Linked DNA regions of Solanum lycopersicum. The protein of the gene in region 1 interacts with the protein of each later gene in a pairwise test. Links are inferred from orthologs where the notes say so. Each region holds a gene or a part of one and is shown on either strand. Other genes may lie near its edges.

Region 1 (10,917 bases):
AGATGCAAATAGTGTCGCTTCAGTTCCAGGTGACAAAGTTGAACTTGATCCGTCAAGGGACTGCGAAGATGTCCTTCGCTGCATATTGTTGGAGGTAATTAGTTCCGTCTTCTACTTATATATGGTAGATTATTTGATTCGGTTATTTGAAAGCTCCATGCAAGGGACCTATTTCAAGGGAATGGTCTCCTTTAGAGTTACTTCTGTTTTACATATGCTTAGTTGTGTCTTTGCATGTAAATGTACAGGTGTCTGCATCAAATCTAAAAACAGCTACTCCAGATATGTTAAAGTGGGATGTTCTGTCGTTCATTACGAAAAAGAGATCTATCTTGTCAAAGAGTCACTTGCAACAAGTAAGCTAGTCGTCTTTTGAATTGGTTGGAAATATGAAAATATGCCTGATTGGGATTTGCTATATTTTCTGTTGATAAACAGTTTAAAGATGCGATTGTGAAATCGACGACTTCTTTTTCCACTTCCTTGAAAGAAAGAAGTGGATTGGAGTTGGGGAACCACTACAGAGACGGTGTTACTGCTGATGCTATTGATTCTGATGGCTTTAAGCAGGGACGTAAAATAGGAGGTGTGAATACCCGACATGCTGCACCAACTGAGAACTTGGATACTTTAATACAGGGCAACAAGAATGGCCTGCAAGAAAATCAGCCTGGAAGCTCTCTGCTGCCTGTTAAGAGAAGTTTTGATGCCCCTACTGCTTATGAAATAGAAGTCAATAAAACTAAAGCCATACCAGAGATAAGTTCTGATCCATGTGCAAAGGCAGCCAAAAAGTTTAAGCAGGATGTTGCTGGTTTCATTCAGAACACTGTTCCTGATTTGATATCGTCTCAAAGAGGTGGAGTCCCAGCAGAATCATGTGGAGGAAGTCAATCTATTGTTCAAAAAAGGAACTCGAAAGGTGATGGTACCCTCGAAGCAAATGGATGCCTGAAGGATGGTAAAGCAAAGCATGCTGGATCAGCAAGTGTTTTATGTGGCATTGACTCTAGTATCAAGGATCTGTTGCCTCAAAGAATGAGTTCAGACAAGAAGTTCAAAAATATTGGAAGTAGCAGTAATTGTTGTCCTGAACAGGGAATATCAAGTGACTCATCCCTGCGTGTGATTCAGCAGGATTCTCGCACTTGTGGCTCCAAAGGTGACCTGGATTATAATCTTCCACGAGATCTGCAAAATGGCGAACCTTCTAATGCAGACAAAGAGAATATTGAGCAAAGTCGTGAATCTGAGTTCTCTAGTGATACTGATGAGTATCACTATGAGAGTACTGCTCTTGCTTCACATAAAAATGATTTTTTGAACTTGCAATACGCTCAGGGTGAAGATTCTTTGGCAATTATTGACTGTACAGAGCTTAATCTTTGTGTGAAGTGTAACAAGGGGGAAAATTTATTAGTTTGTAGTTCTGATACTTGCTCTTTGGTGGTTCATGAAAGTTGCTTGGTTTCTGCACCCAACTTTGATTACAAAGGAAGCTTCTATTGCCCCTTTTGTGCATATTCTCGAGCCATTTCTGAGTACCTGGAATGTAAGAAGAAGGTCTCACTTGCTAGGAATGATTTGGCTGCATTTATTGGCATGGGAGCTGGAAAACAATCAAAGAAGTCACTACCTAGGTCACAAGTTATGAAGAAGCATCAATCTCGAGAGGGTAAGAATTCATTGAATGAGGTCACAGAAGCAGGAAGTGCTCCAGCCGATAGGAGTTCTGTCGGAGCTCAAGTCATTCAAACCAGTGCTCCTAAACCAGAGCCTTCTCTACCTTGCAATGAAAAAATGAGGAATTCATTGAATGAGGTCACAGAAGCAGGAAGTGCTCCAGCCGACAGGAGTTCTGTCAGAGCTCAAGTCATGCAAACTGGTGCACCTCAACCAGGAACTTCTCTACCCCACAATGATAGTGGGAGGAATTCGTTGAATGAGGTCAGAGAAGCAGGAAGTGCTCCACCCTACCGGAGTTCTGTCGGAGCTCAAGTCATGCAAACTGGTTCACCTCAACCAGAGGCTTCTCTACCTGAACAATGCTTAGTAGCTGGTCAACAACCCGACAAATCACCTCTTAGATGTCAGAGATCAAGACATAGATCAAGACAGAATCAGTCCAGATCGGAAGAAGAATTGTGTCATGATGAGAATAGAAACAAAAATTCTTTGGAGAAGGCTGAACCAGCAGGAAGTCATAGATCAAGACAGAATCAGTCCAGAGAGGAAGAAGAATTGTGTCATGATGAGAATAGAAACAAAAATTCTTTGGAGAAGGCTGAACCAGCAGGAAGTCATCCAGTAACTAGAAATTCTATGCATGCGGAGGTCACGCAGGTCCATCCACCTCAACCACATGTTCCTCATGAACATGTGTGCCAAGAAAGTTCTTCTATAGAAGTAAGTTCTGAAGAAGAGCAAGATGAGATAGGTTCCGGATACCTTGTACAATTTAGGAATCAAGAAAACAAGTAAGTCTTTTGCACTTCTCCACTTATTCAAATCATGTGGTCGCTTCATATATTCTTCCAAGAAGTGTCATCTGATTCACTTATACTTTCAAGTGTCTGCACTTATTTCTGTTTTCTCATCTCTTTTATATTGAATCAAAACATTTTGTTAATAGTGATAATCAGGCACGTGAATTACTGTTTTTTTTTTTTTTTTTTGGTTATGATTTATACCTCTGATAGTTTGCTGTTCATTTTTATTGTTAGAGGGAGTAGTTGGAAACTCTGTTGATAAAGGATGTACTTTTAATTTGCAGTTTCTGTCCCTGGATTCCTCAAATGAGGAGGAAGAAGCTCCCATGGACAAAAATGGAGGAGGAAACATTAAAGGTACATGCATATTCTTTTGTCTAAAGTTTGCTTGTTTACTGCCTCACGCTTCTTCTCTCCTTGAAAATGTGGTTAGAATGCACCCCCTTTGTTCAAATAGAAGGTAGATCATGCATATTCTTTTGTCTAAATTTTGCTTGTTTTCTGTCTCATGCTCTCTCTCTTCTTGAAAACGTGGTAAGAATGCACCCCTTTGTTTAAATAGAAGGTAAAATTCATCTCTTTTTCTGTAAGTGCACATATATTTACTTATGAAAAAAGAAAAGATTGTCCCATTCAATAGGAATAAGGGGTTCCTTTTTGTTGGTTTCACTTGAACGTTGGAGGAATTTACATGCAGCTGTGCTTTTTCTTTCATGTTGCGTATATTTAAGGGAAATATATCAATTTTACTAGCCTTTGTTGTTGCTTTCGCAGGAGGGATTGCTACGATTCTCACATTTTCATGATAGATGGAAGAGGATTCTAGATTTTGGAGGTGATGTTTTCATGAAAGGTAGGACACCGGGGGACCTCAAAGATAAGTGGAGAAACATTAGCAAAGCAGACGAGAAAGAAACATAAAGGTTTCTTTTTTAAAATAGACTCTATATATATGTATTTGTTGTCTAAAATTGTTGAGTGCTTTATGTTGCTAAAGTCTCTTCGATGGTAGTTTTTGTTAGAATTTTTTTTGGAATGAATTAAGGTAAGAAGCCAAAATTAGAAGTTCCCATGCAGCTTCCAGAAAATAGCATTTTGTTATGAACTTTTCTCTAGGTTAAGTGTAGAAACGTTGAAATTCCTGCTTGTAAATGTTTTGAAGATTTAATAACAACCTTGTTTAGCAAGTCTACCACTTTGTTTGATCTTTTATGATGTCAATGATATGAAATGGTCACTTTTTGAAGTATGAATACGACATCGATTTGTGACAGTTTTAATTCTGTTGCTTCGAAAGTAGTTGTTCCAGCTTCAGCCACTCGAGTTTTAGTTATTTCTTTTGATTTCTCATCAAATGAATGATACAATTTAAGACATTGACTAGGCAGGGATTCACTGTGCAAGAAACATGTTTATTTAGTTCTATGGTTATGGTGTGTGTATATATTCTGTATTTTTCTATTCCATGTATGTACGACGTGCATAACAATCCTCCACGAGGTAAGTGTAAGATCTACGTACATTCTATCCTTTCGTTCTTCAACAAATTGGTAAGCTTATATTTCGTCATCATATATGCAAAGGGGAACATAAGCCCGTGTTTCTCCTTTTATTACTCTCACAGGTTTACTACTACATATTACTATTAGTCTTCTTCAACTAGTTTTTTTTCTGTATACCATTTCTGGTCAACTTGTCATTAGTTTACTGGGTGAAATGACCTTTATACCCCTCCCATCGAATCGAGTGTAGCGGGAAAAAAAACAATAATGCCACGTGTCCTCTATTTACTGGATCGATGTGTCCGTAACGTTTTTCCTATTTGTACAATGTAATTCTCTAACGGGGAAATTCGATCGAACTCCTTCCGAATCATATATATATATATATATATATCTCTGGGGTGGACGTTGGATCCACAAAATAACATAAATTGTGAGTTAACTTTTGTCCAGATTGTTAATTTATTAAGAAATTCATTAAATATCTATAAATACTCAAACTATGAACCCAATTGTTAATATTTATGATATAACTTGAGAACCATGCCACTCCCTGACCTCGAAAATCGAACTTTCCTCGAGTCTATTCTGAATCCATTTGTCACTTCGTGACCTTGAAAATCACGCTTTCTTTTGAATCTATCATATAAAACGTTACCTATAACTTTAAATTCTGAATCTACTTCTGTCATTCTCGAGTCCATTTGAGAGTGTGGTTCAAGTTGTGTTGTGTGCGTACGTATAAGACTGCATGGGATAAAGATGAATGTAAAGACTCGAGAATCAGGCTGTGAATGTCAGGAAAAAAAATACATGTGAAATTTAGAGGCTCGTGAATTTCAAAAATTCTTGTGAGGTGCTTTTTAATACTTATACAAAATTTATTAGTAAAAATTCATCACTGGCTAGTATTTCTTCTTCTGTGACTTTTATGAGAGAAGAAGAGTGTAGTGTGTTAGACCATTTTGAATTTATTATTAAATTAGAGAATCCAAGGAATGTGAGGTGTCATACTTCATTCAATTCAAAGCAATCTTTTTAGTTTGAGATTACAACAATGATGGATTTCATTAGAGAGTATTGTCTTTCTTTATATGATTTTTACTTTGACACGAAATGAAGCTTAAGAAAATGGAGAAGGTTTTTTTTTATCTTATGGTATTAAACGGAAGATAGGTAAAATAATGTCAAAAAAGTTGCATTTGATCTTATGATCTTAATCATGACATGTAAAAAGTTAGAATTAAAGAGTAAAATGAAAAGGAAAAAAAATTCTTTTAGATCAGACAATAAGATAAATAAAGAGAAGAATTAACCTAAATAACATTGACGCAACCACTTAAACTAAAAGTAATCGATGGATATATAATATATTATAATACATGCAATATGTGTATAATCATACATAATCAGTATATAATCTATATATTTCAGCTAGAAAAAGTAAATTATGAATCTAATCATCTATTTGTATAGAGTGTTATAGAACCACTTATCATTTCCCTTAGGTTATCCGTTTTACCGTATAAATAACCTGATTGTGTAGAATTTTTATCTATTATTGTCACTGTGTATAACTTAAACTTCGTAAAATGAAAGAATGAGAGAAATTAGAACTAAAGAATAATGTGACTTTGACATTATATTCAGTGTACACTGTTTACTACTTAGCTCAAACGGTCACATGCATGAGCTCTTATAACACTAACAAACGTGAAAACATTTAAATCAAAACTACAAATTCTTCCCTTATACACACATATATATATTACTACTCCTTCCAATATATATATCTCACACTCAACACTTAGCAAAAAAAAAAACAATACTACACTTTCTTGTACGACACTGATAGTCTAGTCTAGCGTACTATAAACGGGCTTTCAATTAGCCCGAAAAGTGAACACTCTACGGATCTTCGACACTGATAATCTAGTCTAGCGTATTGAACGGGCTTTCACTTGGCCCGAAAAGTTAACACACTAAAGTCTGTTGTTTTGCTTCGCCTACTTATCCAAAGTTAACTACACTTCACTAAGCTTTGGCCTTTCAGTACGATACAGATAATCTAGTCTAGCGTACTGAACGGGCTTTATGGATAGCTACAAAAGAAATCCACTAAAACCATGGAAGAAGGGCCCGGCAAGAGGGAAAGGGGGCCCGCAGAACGCGTTATGTGAATACCGAGGCGTTCGACAGAGAACATGGGGTAAATGGGTAGCAGAAATAAGAGAGCCTAAAAAGAGAACTAGGCTATGGTTAGGATCTTTTGCTACAGCTGAAGAAGCTGCAATGGCTTATGATGAAGCAGCAAGAAGATTATATGGACCAGAAGCTTACCTTAATTTACCTCATATGAGAGCTAATTTCAATCCACTGAACAAATCACAAAAGTTCAAATGGTTTTCATCAACCAACAACTTTGTTTCATCATTGATACCAAATACCACTGGCTTACTCAACTTAAGTGCTCAGCCAAATGTTCATGTAATTCACCAAAGGCTTCAAGAACTCAAGAGAGCAGAGGCCGCGGCTGCAACAGCAGCAGCAGCAGCAGCCTCATCTTCGAGTTCATCAATCACCGACATTCCCAAAAATGAAACTCAAAAGTATAGTAAATTACAACCTGAATACTTGACAATGACAAGTCCACACGTGATGATCAAGGAGAAGGAAGATGAATTCTCATCACACAACAATGTAGCCGTTCGTGGTGATCAAGCTGAGAAGCCTCAGATTGATCTGAATGAATTTCTTCAACAGATAGGAATACTGAAAAGAGACGATCATCATCAACAACAACAGCCTGATAAAAATCAAGATCATGATCATAATAATAATAGCATCAGTAGTTTCACAGAGTCAAGAGTTTCACTAAAAGACGATAGTTCAATTGCTCATTTATTTGGTGATACAACAAGTTACAATTGGGACACATTGGGTTCAATAACAGGTATAGAAGATCATGAGGTAGCAGCAGAAGAGGCTAATAGCTTTTATAATGTGAATGATGAGCTTATGTTTCCATCTTCAATATGGAACTTTTGAAAGAATTTATCTTATATACACTGAATGTCGGTATATTTTAACCGACTATATAAGGCTATTGCAGAACTTTTAACTTAAATAGAATAAAAAACTTAATTAAATATCAAGTCAGGCAATTATAAACCAATTGTATTTCAAAATAGAGAGTCCTCTATCACGTGGAACTTAGATTCAGTTCTTTTAAAAAACTGGGAATTAATTAAGTTCATGTTCTATATATTTCACAATAAAAATTTTCAAATACATACTTATATATTTTTAACCATACAATAAATTGATTTATAGTTTAAGAGACCAATGTCTGCTCAATCCATTCTTCTCAGACCCAGGAGAGCCTCCTAAGCCACTATTAACAGTGAAGTAACATCATCTTAATAGACACCACAGGTTGAACACAGAAATGAGTGCAAGCTTGAAAATTAAGTTCCGGGGTAATAGGATACTCGCATGGTTTAGACGTGTAACCAACAGTTTCATCACAGTTGAGGGTTGTTCTCATGCATTATCCCGAGTACATACGTTTACCAACAGAAAATTCTGATATAGATCAACAGGTCAAAAGTTAAAATGGCAAACAGTTCAATACAGGGAGAAGCGTCATCACTCAAGCAAGCTAGTGGCGTTCTTAACTGACTGTTCCTTGGGAGGTTCAACAAAATCCCGAAAGGAAAACAGGGAGGCGTATATCTAGCTTTAAAAACAACAAGTACATTATTGTTACATTAAGCAACGACATCAAATTGATAATGCCTAAAGTTACTACAAGCTTAGCTAAGGTTTACCAGCAATTTGAAGTATATGATTCTGGTAATATGACGAGCGTATCTAAAATCACTTGTAGATAAGGGCGTCACGACCAGGCCCAATACCAATGTAGTGGATAGGTACCCCAACAAGCTCCTCTATCCTTTCTACATACTCGCGTGCAGCCTTGGGCAAGTCAGAATACTTCCTGATTGAAGAAATATCAGTTTTCCATCCAGGCAAAACTTCATACTCCACCTACATAGATGAGAAAAAGGAAAACATATAGTAGAAGTCACAAACACACAATACAAGAAAATAGAAAACGGTAATAAGATACAAGCAACATGGGGCATTAAAGAAGTATCAATATGCATACTAAAGGTCTACCGACATGAAAAGCCAATAGAAAAAAATCATGATATATGGGAGAGAAAAGGCAGATTGAAAGAACAAAAAAGTTGCAAAAATTAGGGAACTTCATTTTCATCCACCTTCCGGTAATAGGGTAGAGGAAATTAAACTATAGTTAACTCCTCGCTGAAAAACATAACTTTTATGAAAAGGTTTTAATGTTTTCCCACACATCAATGTGTTAATATGGCTCAATTTCCCAAAACATTCACATAAAAATTGAAACTAATAATCTGGTCTTCCAAACACCACAAAGATCATCACGTAAAAAGATGTTGAAGTGGGAAAACAAAAGAAACTTACCTTTATTTGTTCGAGAAGACTTAGATCAGAAGGAAAAGAATTTAATGTTGAACCATCAGGATGCCTGTAAGTAACACCCAACTGAATTTCTGATAGATCTGACAGCACATCTAGTTTTGTCAGGTTTAGAGAAGCAAATCCATTTATTTGACAGCAGTATCTTAGTGCAACTATGTCTAGCCAACCACAGCGACGCGGGCGTCCAGTAGTTGTACCAAACTCCTGCCCAGCAGAACGAAGAAGATCGCCATATTCGCCCATGAGTTCTGTTGGGAAAGGACCAGAACCAACTCTTGTCGTATATGCCTTAACCTGCAGGAAAAGCATCAATTAAAACAGCTCAATATTTGCTGCTCTGTGCATAAAGTGCGATAAATGCAGACTGAAGGACCATGCAGTCAATTGATTCCTAAGAGCTAGTTGATATGAGGATCATATTCTTATGGCTAAAATCTGGGTTTATCACACGTTTAGCTAATTGACGATGATAGATGTACAGCAATAAGTTTTAGGAAAGATAAAACTGTTCTTCATTCTTCAGTATAAAAGGACAAAAATTCTTTTAAGAAAATAAATCGAGTTTGCTTACCACACCAACAAGATCACCGACAACTCTGGGAGCAATTCCAAGACCTGTGCAGATTCCACCAGCTGATGGACTGGATGAAGTGACAAAAGGGTATGTCCCAAAATCGATATCCAGCATAGTTGCCTGACCACCTTCTACCAAAATCTTCTTTTTCTGAGATATAGCATCATTCATGAAGTGCACAGTATCTGTAACGAAAGGTTCCAACCTCTCAGCAAATTTCTTATAGCGTTCCACTTCCTCCCTGAGCATGTCAGGGCAATACTTAAAACCTTGGAATCTTGAAGCGGCATCTGATAATAAAAGATCAAGCTTTTGGGGGAATGTGTCCATATGCCTTAAATCACTAACCCTTATGCCATTTCGAATAACCTTGCTTGAATAGGAAGGCCCAATGCCTCTCTTGGTGGTACCAATAAAGGACTTATCTAGCTCAGCTTCTCTAAGCCCATCTACTTCTTGGTGAAAATCAAATAACAAGTGAGCACGATCTGATACCAAAATCCTTCCTTGACAAGAAACTCCATTAGATTCAAGATTGTCAATTTCATTAAAAAGTCCTGGTAGATGTACCACGACTCCGTTACCAATAACACATAAAGTTTCCTCATTGAGAATCCCTGAAGGGACAAGGTGCAGAGCAAACTTCTTCCCCTCAGAATTGTAAATAGTGTGCCCAGCATTGGCTCCTCCCTTACAACCAAAAACATTATTGAAAAGCTCAGCTAGCATAGTTAACAAGTTTATCTATCCCAAGCAATATAAAGTAAAGTAGAATGGTAGGATGAGAAATAAATAGAAACAACAATTTAAAACAAAATGGTATAGATGAGAAATATATATGAACATTATACAAAAAATATTTGATCTTTCACCTAAAGACATGACTTAGGTCATTGGGTTGAGAACCCTGAACTCTAATTTTCAAATCTCTTGTAGTTGAAAACAGTATGTGATTTCACCGTATTTGTCCAAGCCTTGGTAGATAGAGTTATGAGGTAGTTCCAGCAGGTACCAAATGGGAGCAATCAAGTGATCGAAAAGTAATACGAGGAAAATTTTCTCTTTCAACTCTACACTCTGCCTCTGTTTCTACAGATACACTTGCATCAAAAAAAATAATACGAGGAAACTCTAGAATCAAAAGAAACTATGATCCTAAGGTATCACTAGGGCTTCTTTTGGAGGCCTCTTGAATCCTAACTCACCCACTTACTGAAACCAAGCATATCTAACAAAAAATTCCAAATAATGAAGCAAATACTGTTCTTGATTTGGCCTAAAGTATACTCTAAGATGCTAACTATACAGTATGAGTGTTATTTAACGGTTATAGGAAGTTATCGCTCGGACACAAACTCATATAGCACCCAAGGCTGTGGCCTAGTTCTAATTTCAGCAGAGACAAAACACTAGGTGATTTCTTCTAGCGGGACAGAGTTGCTGGTATCCCGTTGAATTAATCGAAATGATAATACCAATAATGAACTCATTTAAATATACCTGACAACGAGCAACAATATCAAAATGCTTAGCCAATATATCAACGAGCTTTCCCTTTCCTTCATCACCCCATTGACAACCCAGCACGCCTGATACCTGACTCAGTGACTCAATTCGACTCAGTCCTGACTCGTTGACCCCTTGACGATCCACTACTGAGGCAAGCGGATTTTTCGAACAAACTATCATTGAAGAAGCCTTCTTCTTCCTTTGCTGGAACTGAATGAGCCTACAACTATTGGTCCCATTGTAACCGATGGTCCCACTCCGGTGACTCACCTTCGCCGTCGCTGTAGCTTTCGCCGTTGTGATTGAGCTGGCATCA
Region 2 (11,697 bases), on another chromosome or scaffold:
ATTTTATTTGAAGTGTCATCTCTAGATAGGCCTTGTAATATGCGATTCGAATTTAATTGAGACTTCAATGTGAGCTTCAGATATTAAATGAAAAATTAAAAAAATATATATATATCTTATCGTCTCAACTTCATGCTAAAAAGTACATGAAAAATATAGAACATGTTGATAATTATGTCCATTCAACCACTAAAACTTATAATAGATGTATATGTCACTACCACCTAAATACCTAACACCAATTTATGTTTCTTTCTCATTAAATCAATAAATGTAATCAGCTATTCAAACTTGGTCAGTTATCCTCCACACATATAATTCACATCATAATTTGAATTACTATATATAGCATTTTTCAATAAATGTTATAATATCCTATCTGGATGATATAATTGATCAATTATTAGTTTTTATTAAATGTGGGGAAGTACACCTACCAAACAGTATAACATGCAAAATGAAAATATGAGATGATTAAACCAAGGAAATTTAAGGAATGAAACTATCCAAATTACCAATCAATTAATAATATTTTCAATTAATTCTGCTGTTGAGTATGTGATCAGCTACTGGTATGACAATTAGATGCATTGATTCCACTCGGTGACATCTAGGAGGAATATGTAGTGTTTTAGTGAAAATACTGATCAATTACTAATTGATATTATTAAAGTATTTATATAGTTCGATGAAGTGGCGGATCCATTCAGGTACGTGGGGATGTCACGCCATTCATGAAAATTTTATTTATATATAAATATAATATTTGTATAAATTATATCCGTGCCACCCAGAGAACAAAATTGTTCTGTGGGGCAATGGTAGACCCGCAAGCTAACAACCCCTGGTTCAAAGAGATTGATTCCAGGCAACAGCCTTATTTTGTTTCAATTTTTCTTTTTAACCACAGGCAGCGTTTGTTTTTTAAACTACTAGCACATTCTTTTTTTGATTTTTGATTTTTGATTTTTGATTTTCTTTTTGGTCCGTCTAAAAAAGAATGTCACATTTCCTTATATGATAAGTATTTAGAGGAATAATTTCTCTTTTACCGTTATTGGTCCCACTTAATTTTCTAATACATTTATGAAGAGAGAGAAAAGTGAGTTACTTTTTTGAAAACAATTTGGTAACATTTCAAAGTTTTCATTATTTCTAGTCAAATGTTGCGACATAAAATGGGTGGGAGGGAGTATTAATTAATAATTGTTTTTAACTAATTTAATTTAACTCTTTCACTTTTCTTTTACATGATTAAATATATTAAAAAAATTATCTTTACCGTTGAAACCTCCTTTAAACTTTTCAACAAGAAAAAGTTGTCATTAAATAAAGCTTCAAGCTTCCGTCCGTCGCCCAATTCTGCTCTCCGTCCAGCCACAAGACGAATTCTATTTGAATCTAAAATTGATTTAATCGATGAGCCTACTGAGCATTAGAGACAATCTAAAATTTGGAGATTTCGATGCACCAACACTATCTTAATTTAGGTAGTTAACGAAAATTTCACTACAATTAATGAATAATGTAGTATTTGATTGGTTACTAATGGCTCGAATATGATTTATAAGCTAAACTTAAAATAAAAATAATAAAATAAGATTGAATTGTATTCTCGCGAGTGGTTCCTCCGGCTTGTACCAACTAAACAAGGGCACCCCTATACCTCTTATGGGTAGAGTTTATTATATCCTACTTTATGTCAGTTTCTCACGATAGATATATATATATATATACACGTAACCTTTTTGAAGTTAACAGATGCACGTGCACCCCTATCATGTGGTCCGCCTCTGCTTGGCACCCAGTGACCCTAATTCCTAGATCCACCTCTACTCCAATGATATTAAGAATGATGAAGCAGTGGATCCAATCAAGTTAAATAGTTTGAATTTGATCTAATTTGAGTAAATACTTTACCTAGTGGATCCAATTTCCGTAATTTTCCTTTTTAAATACCACAACGGAATTAAACATATTTGTGCAAATCACCTCCGAAAAGCTTCTCGTGGTTAATAGCATTTGGGCCTAAAGCCCACAACGCATATCACAAGAATCAATGATCCGTCCATGTATTTATCTACTTGGGCCTAATTTGTTGTTTGCGATTCGGCATAAGATCCAAATTTTATGTAAAATTGTTAACGGAAAAATTGGAAGAACTTACATAAATAGCACCAATATATTCCCTAACAAATTATTATTATTATTATTTTTAATTATTATTATTATTAAATTAAGTTTAAAAATTAAAAATTAAATTATCAAGATTGTTTATTTTCTCAACTTTTAAATGGATAATATGCCTTTTTTAAAAACTACAACATGTAATATTATGAACAAAATATAGATCTAATATTTTATCAATTTTTTTTTTTAAAAAAATAATCATATGACGGTTAATGATAATTACGGTTGGAGATGGTGATTGTGTGTGCGTATTGGAATGGTATAGGTTGATCATGTAGTTTTGATGATGACAATTGATAATTTGTAGTATATGTTAGTGATAATAATGTAAGTTGAATATGCATGTAATAGTGATTGGTAACGAATAATGATGATTGATGACGGTGAATATTGTTGTGATGATTGATAATATTTGTGATTGTGCTGAAGTCTAAAAGATGATTGAAGAAAATTGATTAAAGTGGATAAAGTAATATTATAATTTTACTCTACAAAGAAATTGTTAACAAACATTTGAATGAAATTAAAAAATTGTCAAATATCATTCATTTGGATTCTGTAATTACAAAACAAGACAGACAAATATATTTAATAATTAATATATTAATAGATAAATTCAAACTTGAAAAATAAAATAAAATAATTAAAATCTAAATAATTAAGACTAAACATAAACCTAAATAAGTAAAAAGACACATTAAAGATATAATGAATCAATCTCCTTTTGCATTAATTATCTACCTAATCGAAATTCCATCATTAACTATATTAATTTATTTGGTTAATTATCCAACTACACCCTACTCTTTATTATTTTATTTTATTTTAAATCTAAGTTTTATTTGCTTTCCCTCCAAAGTCATATCTATGAACTGATCTTCTACCCCACAATCCATTAGTCAACATTATAAAATAAAAAAGAAATTGCATGTCTTCTGATTGACATGCCATGGGCTAAGCAACTTTATCAAAGTCTTCCACAAATTGAATTTTTTTTTTAAAAAATCAAATATCAAAGTACTATAGCTTAGCATGAATAACATATTAATTAATGTAAAGAAAAATCAACCACTAATCCGACCCCATCAGCTTTGAATTTCTCAAATAACAACAAAAAAGAAGAATTATATAAAGATATGTGCGTGGACTTCAGTGTCTTCATCACCCCTTTTGTGAATAATATCATCGAAAATCTAGACGCTTCATTTTAAATTTACGTAAATTTAATAATATTTAAAAAAAAATTTAAATATTAAAATTTAATCTAACTGTTATCATAGTATTTTACTTGAGTTATTATAATTATAAATATTTATAAATTTTAAATCTTGATTTCATCTTTAAGTATTTTATAGACTAATTAAAGAGAGAGACACAACCCAAAGACCAATACTTTGATAGGTGAGATAACTAATTTAGCCTAAAAATCCGTTGGCATATTTCTTCTACCACTTCATTGTCACCTTATTGCTTCTTTAGTGATTTGAACCTACAAATTTAAAACTAAAAATAGAGGTGGTTACTGAATATTACTAAGCAACGATTTCTCATGGTCGTTTTTTATTTTTAAATAAGAATTGACATATAAGTATCAACCACAAGAAGAAGAAAATAATAGATTATTTTTGCAGCATTTCCAATGAGACATAGGAGATAGGGTATTTTAGGTCAGGAATAAGTCACTAAAATGCCCAAAATTCAAGAGAAGTGAATTGGTACTACATAGATTTGATGATTCATATGTCTCTCTTTTCTCTTTTCTCTTTCCCAAAACAAGGAAAAAAATAAAAGAAAAGGAAACAAAGCATGCAAATGAAGAAAGTAAAAATTAAAGATGACGAAAATAAGTAAAAAAAAAAAAAGGAAGCTAGTCAGATCATAATTAAAAAGGAAAAAAGAATATTCTTATAATAAATTCATCATCTCATGCCTTCTGGATGCAATGGGAAGAGTTGAAGAGTCCTATCACCATTTTCTCTACAATTTATAATTTCTTCTTCATCTTGTTGTTGTTGTTCTTCCTCCATGTATTCAAATGTCCATCCCCTACACTTTCTCTTGTATGGACTATCTTCATCCCTCACTACTTCTCCCTGTATCGAGTAACAAATCAATATCAGATCAATTAAAAGATAACTACAGATCAATACAGTAGTGCAAAGGGTTCATATCAAAATTAATATACTTATTGATACGTTACAACAAGTAACAATATAACGCAACATGTTATAACATGTCAAAATAGATGGACAGTTTTTAAATAAAATTATACTGACAGTGTATATAACTTAGTTATAAACGTGTCATGAGACATACCCTAGTGTCAAATGACAAAGGACTAGTGACTATGGCTGATGGTGTTCTTGGACTTTGGCTAAGGCCAAGACTATTCCTCTTTTGCTTTTGTCTTTCACGGGCTTTATGGTTTTGAAACCAGTAGAACACATTTTTGCCTTCTATTTTCCCATATTTTCCTAGTTGTGCTGTGATTTGCTCTATTTGTTGCGCGTTGGGTGTACGCATCCCACCTCTATACAACATTTCAAGTATCCCTATCTGTTCTTGTGTTGGATTCCATCTTGTTCCTCCTGGGTGTGATTCCACCTACATATGTTAAAAGTAAAACATCAACAACCACACTAACAAAAAAAAAAAGTATATTCATATGGACCTCGCGAATCTCCTACATGTCCTAACATGCCACTAGTGGAATCAAGTGTATACTTTATGAATTCAAGATGTTAGTAAGAATATTCCCTTTATCATTTGATGTGATAAGACGTCAGAATTTAAACTTTATGAATTCATGATGAAGCTGAATGCACTGGTCATTTGAGTTATTCGATTTGAAATGTACTATTCGTACATATCTAAGAAAGTTTAAGTCAAAACAATTGAATTCAGTTGAACTCATACATCTACTAAAGACGAATTCTGTTAGTTCAACTGAACTCATTACGTAAATATGCAAAAAAAAAAAAAAACATTTAGAAATTACCTGAGAGGAGTCTTTCTTGTCTTCATTGTAAGCAAGTTTAGGAGGGCTATTGCTACTTTCAGGCCTAATGAAACTCTTAAGATCAAAAGGAGGAGTAACAATGGTAGTTGTGGTATCATTATTGGTTGTGTTGAGCTTAGGAGCAAGTGGTCTTAAACGTTTGCAACCAAGTGTAAGTGAAGGAGAAGCAGCTTCATGCTCTAAGAATCCACGTGTGAATTGATGCACCTTCATACTTAAGCTTCCTGATGATGATCCCATGTACATGGAGCTAGACAGCTTTTAGTATTCATATGCCACTAGAGGCATCCCCATTATATAGAACTCAATTATCACTCCTACTAAAAAAAGGTGGAGTTTAACTACCATCATTCGTTGCTAGTGTAAAAAAGAATTTTTACACTGCAATCATCAAGTCACCTAAAAGATAACTATATGCGGTAATTAATCTAACAATCTATATTAAGTTAAAATTTTAACCTGAATTATGTGTTAGGTAAACTGTGACATAGTTTGACGAGGCATAAAGTTTTAAAAAAATAATTTTTGAAAATTGTGATCGTCTAACACAAATTCAATTAGATATTTATGTGAACATATATAAATCAAGAATTTGAAAGTTAAGTAATTCACAAGGACATAATTTTATTTCTCAACTAAACCACCAAACGAGCGTTATATTGATCCTGGCTATGACTCGAGTCACTCCACCACCCTTATGGACCTTTGTCATAAATAAAATATTGACGTTATTCAACGTTAGCAAAAGCAAGGTAATGAAGAAAATGATTAATCGATTCTAACATCGACTCAAATCACTCCAATTTCTTCGTACACCTTGTTATAGACAGGATGTTGACGTTACTCTCTGGAAAAAAAAAGTATCGAAGAAAAAAAGGTAAAATTAATAATAAAAGAAAGTGGGAAATGAGGTGGGTGCCTATAAGAACCAAGACCAAATGATGAGGTGAGGTTGACTTATGATTTCCATTTTAAAAAGTAAGAGGAAAAAAAAAAGGTGGATCAATAGAGAGCTAGCTAGCTATAGATAAGAGGCAAAAAAAAAAAAAAAATTTAAAAAAGGTGTAAAATTACTATTATGAATGAATGAAATGAATTGAATTGGTGAGCGTGTGGGTGAATGTATGCGTGTGTGTAGTTGGCTAGTCTAATCAACTAAAATAAAATGTAATGAGTAATTTTTCTTCTCTTTTTTCTCTCTATTTTTTTGCCTTTTTTTTTCTTCTTTCTTCTTCTTACTTTAATCATTATAATTTGTCCATGCTTTTCGGTGGCCTCTTCTCCTTCTAAATAAACTTTTTTAATATAATGTATCATTAAAATTAAATAAAGTTAGGACAAGAAAAATAAATAAATTATTAAAGCAAAAAAAGTTTCCACCAATCCCTAAACTCCTTATTGGAACTCTTTGTTTCTTTCCAAGATACGGATACGGGGAAAATAAATTGAATGCCGTCTTTATGTAGTGGAATATTATGTTAGAAAAAACACTCTCAATTTATTGATACGTTGATTTTTTTTATTTGTCTATATTTAATAATAATTTTTGAAAAAATTATAAAAATTCTTTCTCAGAACATCTATTTATATCCTCTCTTGAATAAATTCATTCCTTTTTGATATATTTTTTTTCTATCAGATACATTTCTAATTTTTTTTCAAATTCATCCCCTCTCATTAAGTAATGTATCATTGAAAATTTATAAATTATGTATTCGCTTTTTTCTAATGTACCTATTAGAAATGTTATAATCTTTAAAGGATTTTTGTGTTTTAGAAGAATAGGGATGATATAATTTGCTCTTAACAATTAACACTATGAAATTAATTATGTAATTTTACTTTTTTTTATTGTTCAATATTAACATGACACAGTTCTTGAAGAGCATTAAATGAAACAATAATTTTATAATAACATTGGCTGAATATAATAAAATCAAAGTTTTAAAAATGCATTGACAAACAACTATAGTCAATTACATGGATAAATTAACTTTTTGTTTTTGAAATTAAACAAATAAAAATTAACGAAGAGAGTACAATTACTCATTATATCATTATTTGAATATAGTTGTATGTAAGGGTAATATAAAACTACGTGATACATAGTAGTCCGTCGATTTTTTCAAATTAGATAAGTAAAAATAGATATCGATTTATATAGTATTTTTTTTTATATAGTGGTTAATAAAGTTGGACAAAGGAGGGAGTATATTACATGCATGACGTGTGTAGACATATTGTATACTATATATGTGACAAAAATCCATCTGATGTAGCTTTAGTTATATGCCCATAACCCAAATATCCCCTTTTTTCTTTGGGAACTGTATACTCCAATTTCCCAAATATTATTAAAAGAAAATCCACTATCTCATACTTTTTTTAAAAAAATTTTATTATCTCCATTTTTGTATAGCAAAAGTCTTTGCATGATTCAAGCACATGCATCAAAGTAATTCCCTAATTATCTGTCACCCATCAATGATTGAATTTTATTAATTTAGGCATCAAATTATATACTACAATATAGTCAAGAACGTTGGAAATTATTTTTCACTGATTCATATCTTTCTTTTTCTTTTGTGTGTCTAAATACTTTGTTCTTTTAATTTATTTAATGTTGAGAATGCACCGAAACCCATTAATTCTTCTAAGAGTTATAAAAAAAGTCAAAAAAAAAAAGAGAAGAAAATATTCAGCTTGACTAAAATATAGAAAGGTTATTATAGGAGCTGGCTTATTCACAAACGTGGCAGCTTATTATTGAAGGCAGGTATTTCTTGTCTTGTCTGTATTTTTTAGGATAATTAATTTGTGTCCTCAATTTGATGATAGATTGGAATAAATTTTTTAATTTGGACTCAGTTGATATTTTTATTCTCTAAATTTTAGAGTATGCATCGAGTAAAGTAGATGCAAGTCTTCTATGTATTGTTTTACATAGAGTATCACATGAATTTTCATGTAAAAATATTTTATGTAACCAGTTAAAGAGTTTATTTGTATATAAAAAATTTGAAAAACATAAAAATTAGTTAAATTCAAATATTACGATCCATTTATGTATTATGATAACTTGAAATGTGAATCCAACAACAACTTTATAGTAAAAGTCTTCAAGGGAGTGCTGAAATTTATGCCCCAATTTCTGAAAGATCTATGATCCAGTTATATATTTCTACTCTTGATCGTATAGATCTTGGTATGAACATAAATCTTCATTTTTCTATCTGCTTTTATTTACGAATCATCTCACACAAAATTAATTAAACACAATTATTTCATTGAAAAGTTTCGCATCAGATAAAAAAATGATAAGTGATCTCTTTATATGGTCTAAGACAATTCTATCTTTTATGAGCAAATTTATACGATTAAATTCTGTCCAAAGTCAATAACATGATATTTGGGCAAAACTCATTTCATTTATTGTTAATTAAAATCAAGCCTTCATATTAAACGTTCGAGATTCAAATGTTCACTGTTAATAAAAAATATATATACCTTCACATTATTTTCTTATGAGCTAATTTTACGATTAAATTATGTCCCGAATTCACAAAAGTAATGATGATATTTGAAATTTTAGATAGTCATACATATAACTTCGTAAGATTAATTCAAAATTTAGGCGTGGAGAGTGTCAAATGACAAGTAACCACTCGTTTGAATAAAGCTAAGTTTGAAAATTATTTACACAGAAAGAGTGATGTCCAATCAAACATGCGATGTTTTTTTCTCTGACAAATTTATAGTAGGAGCTGTAGTACATAAAACTTTATTCAAATTATATTATTATATTCATATATAAATAAATTTACTATCCAATTTAACGTCGTACATAAAAGAGAGATTTTGCATGCACCCTTTGAAAATAAGCAAAGGTTGTTTTTCGTTTCACTTTTTTTCTCATTACTATTTATTACTTAAATCGATATCTTGCTATCATACTTTTTGACAACTTCACGGAGGGGTTATTTGAAAATGATTCATGCAATTCACTAGTAATATTGTCTGTTTCGAATCTAAGTTAGCGAAGCTTTAAAACGCATCATTCAGATGTAAGATTTGTTTACGTTTATACCTAGCATTTTTCTTAAGTTTTTATTCCTATGTGGAACTTTTTTTTTATCTTTATAAGATGAGGTGTCACCTAAATCCCTCTTATGGAATTATCGTCCTCCATGAGATTTTTCTTCACCGCATACAATTTATCTAAAATCAGTACTCATTAGATTTATCTCATCTTATTAAAATTTGTCTAAACTCAATTGAAATCTAATCCACGTACACAAGGTTGAGACAAGAGTGACTTTGATATCATTTGTAACTGTCTAGTCCACTAAGTGATATTATTCTCTTTGGACCAAGATCCACACAACTTTAAAACACATCATTAAGATGTAAATTTTACTTACCTGTATACCTATGTATTCTTTGTCGATATATATAGACTTCTTGATTTAATGTTATGGTCATAATTTTACCCCTATGAAGATATGAATAAAGTTGAATGCATCGCATCATTTCAGAATCCGCTTATGAAATTATATATTATTATTGTTGTATTTTTCTCAGACCATATCTAGTAGACTTAGTACCTACAAAACCTAAGAAAATTAGGTTAGAAAAAAAATTCTACATATGGGTTTGTCGTTTGGACAAGATACCAAATTAAATTGTCTTGTTATTGGCCTGCCAAGAAGTCATTCTTTCTACGTAGAAATGTTTTCACATATTGTAATGATTTCAATTTTGAAATTAGTCACGTTATCCCATTTAAATGTTTCGGTGCCCCAACGTCAAAGGAATATAAATATCCAATTATTAAGTTTTTTTATTTATTTTTACTTTATTTTTTTTTAGTACAGCTCACCAAAATAAAAAGATTTTTTTATTTGCTTAAACTCGTTTAAAATTAATTAATTAGATATAAGTTTTTCTAGATTGATTGATTCTTTAATTAATCTCCAGCTGTTTTTTAATTTTTTTTTCAAAGTGCTGATGGTTTTGTACCTGATTTATAATAATTAGTGTAAATAGAATCTTGAACAAAGTGAACATATAATTATCTAATTTCATCTTTCAAGGTAAAAGAAAAAAAAAGTAACAGATGAAATATGATGACAAACCTAAAATTTTGCCTGATTAGAACGTTCTTATAAATAATGAAACTAATTAAAAAGAAGTAAAAAAGTAGAATGGAGGAATAATAATATACGTTACACAATGAGTTGAGTACGTGTGGCCATTTGGATATATAATAACACTCTCATTATTGATTCAGTCACTAATTATTTGTTCGTATTTCTCTCTTACTTGTTTTTCAAGAATTTAAAATTGATTGGTAAGGAGGAGATAATGAACTTGTCATATAATTTATAAAACTTATTTTTTTTCTTATTTCTATAAAATAACAAAAATATTTTTATCAATCAAACGTAAAAGAATTTAAACTCATCGACAAATGATCATTAATGTTGAGCTAGCTCATTATTGTATTTGAACATCTTCTGTGTCTCCAATTAAATTAGACGTCCCACATGTTCAATTTGAGGGGTAGGTTACTTTGTTCCCTTTTAGCATCTAATTGAACAAAATATACATACTCATGGTGCCATTATACGATTCTCTTTTATATTATGTCTGTCACCTTTTTTCTTTGATCTTTCTTTATTTGCCTAATATATAGTTTGTGTCCGTATATATCAACATCATCAATTTCCATCATCTTGTGGTTTTCCAATATAGGAAAAATTACGTGCTTTAGAGTCAATAGTTTTACGAGACAAATATATAAACGACGGTATAATTATATAAAAGTCAGTTTACTATTTTAACCCTATCAATATTAGCTCGGAGAAGCTCATTTGGGATTCATAGCCATAAATACTCAGTTATGTGGGTGACACATACTACAACACAAAAAATAATTTTTTGATTATGATAATGGGATAAAGCCTCGTATTAATAGTCGAAAAGAATGATTAGCTATACATATATGTTATAAGAATGTATATTATGTAGATTAACTCAAAACGGAATATATATGTATATATATATATATATATCATATTCAGAATATATTCTAAGTGATTGAGCCCACCATGCAAACTAGACGATGGATCTTCATGATGACTTGCCTGTGCTTCATTCCTTTGCTCTCATAACGACAAAATCATCACTTTAAAATTGATTATAAAGTGAGAGAATATTTTTGTACAAAAATAATGTGTCAAAGCAAAAGAATTTAAGAACCGTACGTACAATGAGAGTGTGATATAGTTGTTAGGGGTTCCTACTTAAAGACAAGTAACTCCGACCTGGATCATGATGCAATAGTAAAACTGTTTTATTCTTAATTAGAGATCTCAATTTTAAGTCTTAAATATAAAAAGAATTATCAAAAGCATATATCACTTGTCAATGAGCCTTTATAATGTACGATATAAATTGAGTTTCAGACTTTAATATAAATTCCGAAT

The links.
Region 2: the proteins of dehydration-responsive element-binding protein 2F (region 1) and WOX4 interact in binary tests that used the Arabidopsis thaliana proteins (3 or more experiments, as listed by UniProt). The link is inferred for Solanum lycopersicum from reciprocal best matches to the Arabidopsis thaliana genes AT3G57600 and WOX4.

Annotation. Positions count from the first base shown.
Region 1 is NC_090809.1:60,754,441-60,765,357, forward strand, and holds dehydration-responsive element-binding protein 2F, read left to right. Parts: upstream 1-6,085; coding exon 6,086-7,039; 3' UTR 7,040-7,092; downstream 7,093-10,917. Other genes in the region: uncharacterized protein, read left to right, coding at 1-94, 249-356, 439-2,477, 2,774-2,846, 3,264-3,410; adenylosuccinate synthetase, chloroplastic, read right to left, coding at 7,871-8,041, 8,501-8,812, 9,090-9,782, 10,593-10,917. UniProt on the Arabidopsis thaliana protein: Transcriptional activator that binds specifically to the DNA sequence 5'-[AG]CCGAC-3'. Binding to the C-repeat/DRE element mediates high salinity-inducible transcription.
Region 2 is NC_090803.1:65,157,009-65,168,705, forward strand, and holds WOX4, read right to left. Parts: upstream 5,478-11,697; 5' UTR 5,456-5,477; coding exon 5,189-5,455; intron 4,795-5,188; coding exon 4,507-4,794; intron 4,284-4,506; coding exon 4,110-4,283; 3' UTR 3,793-4,109; downstream 1-3,792. UniProt on the Arabidopsis thaliana protein: Promotes differentiation and/or maintenance of the vascular procambium, the initial cells of the developing vasculature.